Regions from separate parts of the Mus musculus genome. Here region 2 is reported to be linked to region 1. The links are microRNA targets in miRTarBase. Many come from high-throughput screens and were not tested one by one. Region 1 holds a microRNA gene; the other region holds the end of a gene's coding sequence.

Region 1 (4,481 bases):
AGTAGAGTCAGTCATTTGTCCCCAGTATGATCTGGGACAAGGTCTAAAAAGCTTCTGCTGTGACAGGATGGGGGTAGTGGCTTCTGGAATCTAGTGAATACAAGCCATGGGAATTCACTTCCTTTCGTGCTCAAGAGGCCCCCAGAATCTCAGTCCAGCCTCATGAGACCAGTGGCCAGGCCAAGGGTACACATGACTAGAGCTAAGGACCCCAGGGGATCCTTGCTCAGAGAGCAGCTGCCCCTTATCCAATTATGTTTTCTCCCAGAGTCTCTCCTGACACATGTGGTGATTTTTGCAGTTCTTGATGCCAACCATTCTCTCCCACTAGTAACACAGCCAGGAGAGTCTTACCTCTTTGTCAAGACAATGGCTACAGACAAGGAAGAGGGTGGGAAGATGAGTGGCAGGTAACACTAAGAAGGAGGCTCAGTGCAGAGGAGTGTTGGAAAAGCAGAAACAGCAGGCCTGAGGACAGCGGCCTATGGCTGGTGAGTGAGTAGCTTGTTGGGGCTTCCCAAAGGAAGAGAACTGAAGTTTATAGAATTCATATCTGAGGGTTTTACTCTAGCTTCTGCTCACGAGACGGCTGATACACAGCCTCCCATTTGGGCTTCACAGCCTTCACTCCCTGTTTAGTGCTTAACCTGCACTATTGGTTTGAATCTTCTTCAATGTCTCTCTATCCATCCATCCACCCACCTACCCGCGCATCTATCCACACACTCATCTGTTCCCCCTCCTACCCCCCATCCCTCCCTCCCTCCCTCCCGCCCTCCCTCTATTCAGAGTTTACTGTACTCTAAATGAAAGGTGCTCCAGCCCTCTTGCAGTTGAGTTAAATCTAATTAATGGGAAGAGACACTAAGAAGCAAGATCAAGCCAGGTGTGTGCTAGAAGCAAGCTGGTGAAGTGGGATGAGTGATGGGCACACCAGGCAGAGCTGGGTAGAGCGCAGAGCACAGATGAGAACAACACCAAACAATCTTTCTTCGTGAATTTATTAGGCAGATACTGTGTCACACTTGGGAGAGGCTGGGTGTGAGTAACTCAAAACTGGGTGCCTGACACCCTCCCCCCCCAGCTCAGTCTTACAGGGGTGGTTCACCAAAATGCCTTCTAGACTGGACACAGCAGTTTATGCCAGAAATGCTGGAGTCTAAGGCATAAGGATTCCAAGTTTTAAGGCCAGTATGGATAATTCAGTGAGATCTTGTCTCAAAAATAAATAAATAAATAAATAAAAAAGGGGGGCTGCCATGAAGACCGGTGTGGATCTGACTGATGTCCATCCCACTCCTGTAGGAAAGAAAAGATAAGTGAAAGGAAAGCAAACAACCACATCAAGGAAGGTCTGGTGCTAGGAAGCAAGTTTCCCAGCCAAGGATACAGAAGAGTAGGGAGATACTACACAAGGTGGTACAAGCCCAGGGAAGCAGGGCACTATTAGCCTAGAGCAGACAGGGTGGGGTCAGGTCTCTGGTACCCCATGAGCACTAACTGGGGGGCAGGACTAGTCTAGCAGAGGCTGCCACTGGGATCAAGCCAAAGACAGCAAGCATTCTCTAGAGCCCCAAGGGACTACTTACCATGCGACGCTCTGCGGACACCTTCAGGAGAGCCTCCACCCAACCCTCTGAAGCGAGCACAACAGGATTGAGGGGGGGCCCTCCAGAAAGGCCCTCTTGTCACCTTCCACATAGGCTGTTCTGTGTGCACACAGATGGAGATCCCCTCTTAGGGGCCCTGCCTCTGTCTCCCCAACCCCAAGACCCTAGGAGGGTCTCTTTCTGTAGTCTCGAATGCCCACTAACCTGGATCTTGGCCCGCTCACCCGCTTCCCAGCTACGTGCGCTCAGAAGCCACTGCATCGACAATGGGAAGGTGGCAGTCTTAGTAGTAGGCTCAGGGCATTATGACAAGACCTCAAAGTTCTCCATGGCTTTTAGAAACATCTATCTCTGACTCCACCAGCTACCTTGATGGGTGGGGGAACTTAGAGGATGAGTTCCGTGTGTCAACCAGCAACATTCTCCTGGAGATCGGAAGGAAGCTGTTGGCCCACTCCTAAGCTGAGAGAAGGCTAGTTCCTCCCAGTCATAAAACTCAAGGGAAGAACAGCCCTCCTCTGCCAAAGGCCTGGGCCTCTTATGCCTCTTGGTGTCTCTTTCAAGCACGGCAGGAACGTCCCAGCCTACCTCAAATAGCTGTGGTGCTCAGGAAGCAGTCAATTGGGCAGGAGCTAGTTAGTGGGGGTCCAGAGACACTCATCTCATGGCCAGATCTGTCTATGACCACTCCATCCAATGGACTCACTCACTTGCATGTAGTAGCACAAAGAGGGCCATGGTGTGGCAAGTATCCTGTACAGTAAACCCTCTTGTTCTATCAAGGTGCCATTATGAACCAATCAAACCATTTCTAAGCAGCCCTGTAGATTCCCACGCTCCAAGAAGGATCCACCTTGCTGGGCCTCTGCTCCAGCAAGACCCACCTCCCAACTCAAATGCCCCACCCCATGGGTGCTGACTGGGTCTCTGTGAGGTGAAAAATCAATCCATACCTGAGGAGGAAGAACCCCCAAGTTCTCCTACTTAGCAAACCTTTTCCTCAGGACTGAATGTTGTGCTCACAGCAGAAGCAGCTGAAGAAGTGCAGGCTCCAATCCTTGAGGCTCCCCATCACACAAGGCTTCAAAGGCAGGACTGTGCTGAGAGCTCAGAGGTGCTTAGAACAGAGAGATGGGGTAGGGAATGTTAAGACATAAACAAAACAGACACACAGCCGCTAAGGTCATAGTTTTAAGCTCTTCAACTTAATGGTTCTGTCCTAGTAGCCAAACAGCCATCAGAAGACATATTTATGGGCAATCTTTTGGCTACTGTCTGACCATGTGAGACACAAGAGCCATGTTTTTGAAAACACAGGTCCTTTTCTAATGAATGCAGGTCGTTAACGAAATAGGCTTGGAAGTCATCTTCTAAGGCCTTTGTCCATGACCCTAGACAAATCATCTTCCCAGAGTTCACTTGTACGGGGCCCTCAGCCAGGGCAAGCACTGAGGACAAGAAATCAAGTCTAGAGACTTCAGAAAAGGCTTCCTTTCTCTTTTCTGAAACTCTTTGGTTGAGCAGAGAAGAGAGACGGAGCAGAGCCATCATGCTCCCACGGGTGCAGTAGAGCAACAGTGGGAGGCAGAAGCAAACAGAAGAACAGTGAGGCCCATCACAGAAAGACACATCTGATGGACACCCACCCACCCTTGATCCCAACCATCAACATGGACAACCAACCCAGGCACCCATAGGTAACAAGGCTGGGACAGCTGGGGATGGTGTCAGGCCCAAGAGCTGCTCAGCACAGAAGGGTCACAGGAATCCTGCGCTAAGTGGCTCTCAGAAAAGGGGTGCATCACCACCAAGCTGTGAGGGGCTGAGGTACTTTGTACTCCCTCTGAAGTCCTCCCCCCAGAGGAAGAGCACAGTTTTAGTGTGAGCCCTTTGCGGAGTCCTCTCCCCTCTGTGCAGTTGTTCCCAATACATCTGACTTGGCGGCTAGAGATGTGGCTCCAAGTGTTGGCCATATAAGCCCCTTTCCCATCACTCAGAAAACAGAGAAATGCCAGGAGGTACACGTAGCTCTCCAGGCTGCCAAGAAGGTGAGCTGGTGACTTTAGAGGTGCTGCGAGAGAAGCTACTGTAAGCGGGCCCCATCATCTTCAAGGACACTCTAGAGTTGTTCCTTCAAAACTGTGTAGCACTCAGTCCAGCTCTCAGCTGCAAGGAGAGAGGATGCTCTGTATCTTCACTTGGGGTGGATGTCTGTCTTATCTGTCCAGCAGACTACAAAGACCCATCCCTAGCTACAGGCTGAGTTGCAAAAGAGCTGAAGATCCCACAAGTACGAGGGAGGGTGCCTCTTGCTTACACTGTCAGAGGCCCCAGAGAAAGCCTCTCTGACTTGACCGTTTCGGTGAACATTGCCCCAAATCCTCATTCGAGGGTAGCTCAGACCTCCATCAGCCCCAGTCACCCCTCAGCTTCTGCTCACATGAAGAACCACTTGACTCCTGAGTGTACCAGAGCCCCTGCAAGGGCAGCTAGGAGCCACGAGCCACTCCTCCAAGTAGACACCTCACATGTGGCCCTCAGTGCTTGTTAAGTGTGCTCCTATGTGCCTTCCTATAGCTCCCAGCCAGCTCATCCCAAACCTATGCCCTCAGCCCCAGCGGCTATCTCCCTCACAGCTCTGCTGCACCGAGGTCTCTGATGGCCTAAACTCAGCTCAGCCTAAGTATCATCTTGGACCCCCTTCAAAAGGCTTTTCAGTGCCCGCCAGGGTTGGAAAATAGGCTCTGGACACCAGCTACCCCCTCAGTCAGAAGCGGGCTTGACTCCTACTCCTCAGCGAGGTGGCCCTCGGCAAGTTGGGAGCTCGGCTGCAGCTAGGCTTCTCTCTAGTTGCCATGAAGTTGAAGTGAA
Region 2 (3,000 bases), not on the chromosome of region 1:
TGGGGGAAGAGGCGGCGAAATCTGAGGGTTCCCTCCCCAATCCTAGAGTCTGAGGAGCTGGTTACTGTGGAAACAAACCCCTCCCAGCCAAACAAAAAACGAGGAGGGAGACAGGGACCAAGATACAACTGCCCAGTGGCACCCGTCTAAGCAGGTATGGGCAAAGAGGGCCTGAGCCCCGCAGGCACAGTCAGCCCGTCTGCCAGCCAGCCATTCTGGTTCCGGCAGGTTCCTACGGGCAGGTTCCGAGCAGACAGACAGGGCGAACTTCATAGACACCAGGACCCGCAGCCAGGGGACAGATATCCAGAGAGAGTGTGGCGGGCGGGATGCGAGTGAGGCGGGGAGGAAGAGACCGAGGGACCCAGAGACACCGAAAGGAGGAGAGTCTCAGAAATATTTAATGCCCTGCCTCCCGCCACCCGCGTCTCACCTCTTCTTCTTCCTCATCCTCTTCCTCCTGCCCCCCGCCCACGGCCCGGCCACCTGGGTCCCCACCCTCTTCGGGGTCCCGGCTCCGGAAGCTGCTCAGCACGACTCCCCCGGGGGGGGTCGTGTCCAAAAGCAGCCGCAGGGGCCGCGGGAGCATGGCCGAGAGAAGCAATCAGCGGGGTCGGGCCATGGGGGCGCCTGGGGAGAGACGGGTGGGATTGGGTGGAGTCAGACGGGCGTGGGGGAGACGGACAAGAAGGGACCTAGGTGGGAGTCCCTGAGGAAGGCTGGGGGAGGGAGATACGGGAGTGGGGAAACCCAAGCCCTCGGTGCTTGCTTGGGACTTGGGGGCTAACTAGTGCGGAATGGGCAGGGTCACCCGGTGCTCCGGCTCTGACCTGCTCGGGAAGGGCGAGGGCTGCGCGCGGGTCCCGGGCCTCTGTTCTTGTCGGTCTCTGGCCCTCTACCGAGTCCCCTCCCCGGCTTTTCCGCGATGCCCCCCTCCTGCACCCCGCCGGGCTCCCGGGCCCTCCCGCCCTTTCCGCTTCCCCCCTCCCCGCGTCCGCCCGACAGCAGGAGCCAAAAAGGGAAGGAAGTGAGGACAGGAGCCAGGGAGAGCGACTAGGGGAGTGCTGGACGCCAGGGGCTGGGACGCAGGCTGCAGGTGCACTACTCCGCTGTCCCTTGCAGCCCCACTCGGTGGCTCTGAAGCCCGCGTCTCGCAGCAGACACGCTGGAGACCAGGGTCCTGTCTCAAGCCTCCACAGGAAGGCAAACACGGAATTTTAAGTCACTTTTTCTAACCAGAGCGGCGCTGCAACTGCCGAGGAAAGTGCCCTAGCAGTGGCGCGACCCCGTTACTGCAGCTCGAGAATGACACTGCCGCCCCGGCACGAGTGCAACGGAGCGAATCCGCGCCGGGTTTTCTGTGCCGCCCTTATGCCCGCCCACTCGCGGGGAGGGGGCGGAAGCCGGCTAGTGCGGCGCTTCCGGTTCCACTCGGGTCCGTCGCTCCGGGCGTCCGGCTCTCACCGTGCGCCCGAGCGCGCGCGGTTCCCACGGTGGCTATGTCGTCTCCCGGGTGCGAGACGAGGACCGGGAGGTGACCGAGGTTGGCTGTGCTTGGAAACGGGAGAATGAGAGGCCCGCATGGAAACTCGGAAAGACTTTATTAGCTCACGAGGACCGGCGAACAGGAGAGGACGAACCACACGGGGACATTCGTAAAGGGCCGAGACCCACCAGGCCCGGAGATGGTAAAGGTGGACCAGGCAAAAGAAAAGCTGTGGTAGGAATGGAGAGCTGGAGAGGTAGGCTTTAGTCCGCGAGGGAGACACATGGACCTTTCCGTCTCTAGACTACTGCTGTGGGCTGTCCCTGAGGTCTCTAGAATCTTAAGATGCTATGAAGACCTTTCGTCCTAATCCCCTGGCCAGTGGTTCTCAACCTTCTTAACATTAACGCAGTTCAAGTTGTAAAATTATTTTCTTTGCTACTTCGTAACTGCCTTTACTACTGTTGTGAATCCTAATGTCTGGTATTTCCGATGGACTTAAAGGGGGTTGTGAGCCACAGGTTATGAACCCGCCTCTCTGGCGCATACACTGGTTCTTCTCAACCCTGGGACTCTACGCATGTGTGTTCTTATATTTAGTTCTCTCAACAAAGCCCCGCCAAGTAACCCCGACTGACCTGAAACTCCCTATTTGTAGATCAGGCTGGCATGGAAATGTCAGAGATCCACTGCCTCTGCCTCCCGACTGTGGGCATCAAATGAGTGTGGCGCTAAGTCTCGCTTTTTTCTCATCTTAAAAGTTTAGTTCGAGTCCAGCGGTGGTGGCGCACGCCTTTAATCCCAGCACCTGGGAGGCAGAGGCAGGCGGATTTCTGAGTTCGAGGCCAGCCTGGTCTACAGAGTGAGTTCCAGGACAGCCGGGACTATACAGAGAAATCCTGTCTCCAAAAACCAAAAAAAAAAAAGACCTCTAGGCATGGTGTCCAGTGCCGTTTGTCACTCCGAGGCAGAGGGACAGGTGGATCTCTGGGACTTCGAGGCCAGCCTGGTTGGCTTGGTGAGGGTTCAGGACAGCCAGCCAAGGCTACATAGAGAGACCTTGTCTAAAAACAAGAACAAAACAAGAAAGATTGAAACAAACAAAAAAACCTTAAAAAAAAAAATCCGAGCTATTCAATGGAGGGAGAAGAAGAGAAGAAGGCTGTTGTTCTGGGGCAGGGGCTACTGGAGTCATCTGGGCCAGAGATGAGGGTGGCTTCCACAGACGAGAACTTCTTTACTGTGACTTCTGCAAGAGAAGAAAGAAGTGGGGAATTGGAAGTGTTGGGAGGGAAGTGAGTTTCTCCCAGTTAATGTAGAAACATTCTCACAGTTACAGGCGTGGGAGCAGGCTGGGGCTGTCATTTCCCACCGGCCAGACATGGTCATGAGTGTCCTCGCTCCTGAGTCTTCCAGAAGACCCAGTGGGTCAGCTGAGAATCCAAGCAAACCCCACCCCTGGGCTGTGCTCTGAGCTTTGGAAGTCCTTATGTTGTCTACATGTTTACATTGCC

The links. Region 1 holds the annotated microRNA mmu-miR-298-5p (GGCAGAGGAGGGCUGUUCUUCCC, at 2,111-2,133, opposite strand). A microRNA usually pairs through its seed, bases 2 to 8, with sites in the 3' UTR of a target mRNA and lowers its output. Matches are read on the target gene's strand: a 7mer-m8 pairs with bases 2 to 8, a 7mer-A1 pairs with bases 2 to 7 and ends in A, and an 8mer does both.
Region 2: miRTarBase lists Tapbp as a target of mmu-miR-298-5p. Seed matches in the 3' UTR shown: 7mer-m8 at 2,454-2,460 and 7mer-m8 at 2,302-2,308.

The regions. Positions count from the first base shown.
Region 1 is chr2:174,265,443-174,269,923 of GRCm38, forward strand. It overlaps Mir298 (microRNA 298), which reads right to left and starts at 2,143; the gene lies at 2,062-2,143. It overlaps Mir296 (microRNA 296), which reads right to left and starts at 1,683; the gene lies at 1,605-1,683.
Region 2 is chr17:33,927,875-33,930,874 of GRCm38, reverse strand. It overlaps Tapbp (TAP binding protein), which reads right to left. Exons shown (of 8, transcript NM_009318.2): 8 at 1,585-2,735. The coding sequence ends at 2,724. It overlaps Rgl2 (ral guanine nucleotide dissociation stimulator-like 2), which reads right to left and starts at 981. Exons shown (of 18, transcript NM_009059.2): 1 at 831-981; 2 at 434-630. The coding sequence starts at 589.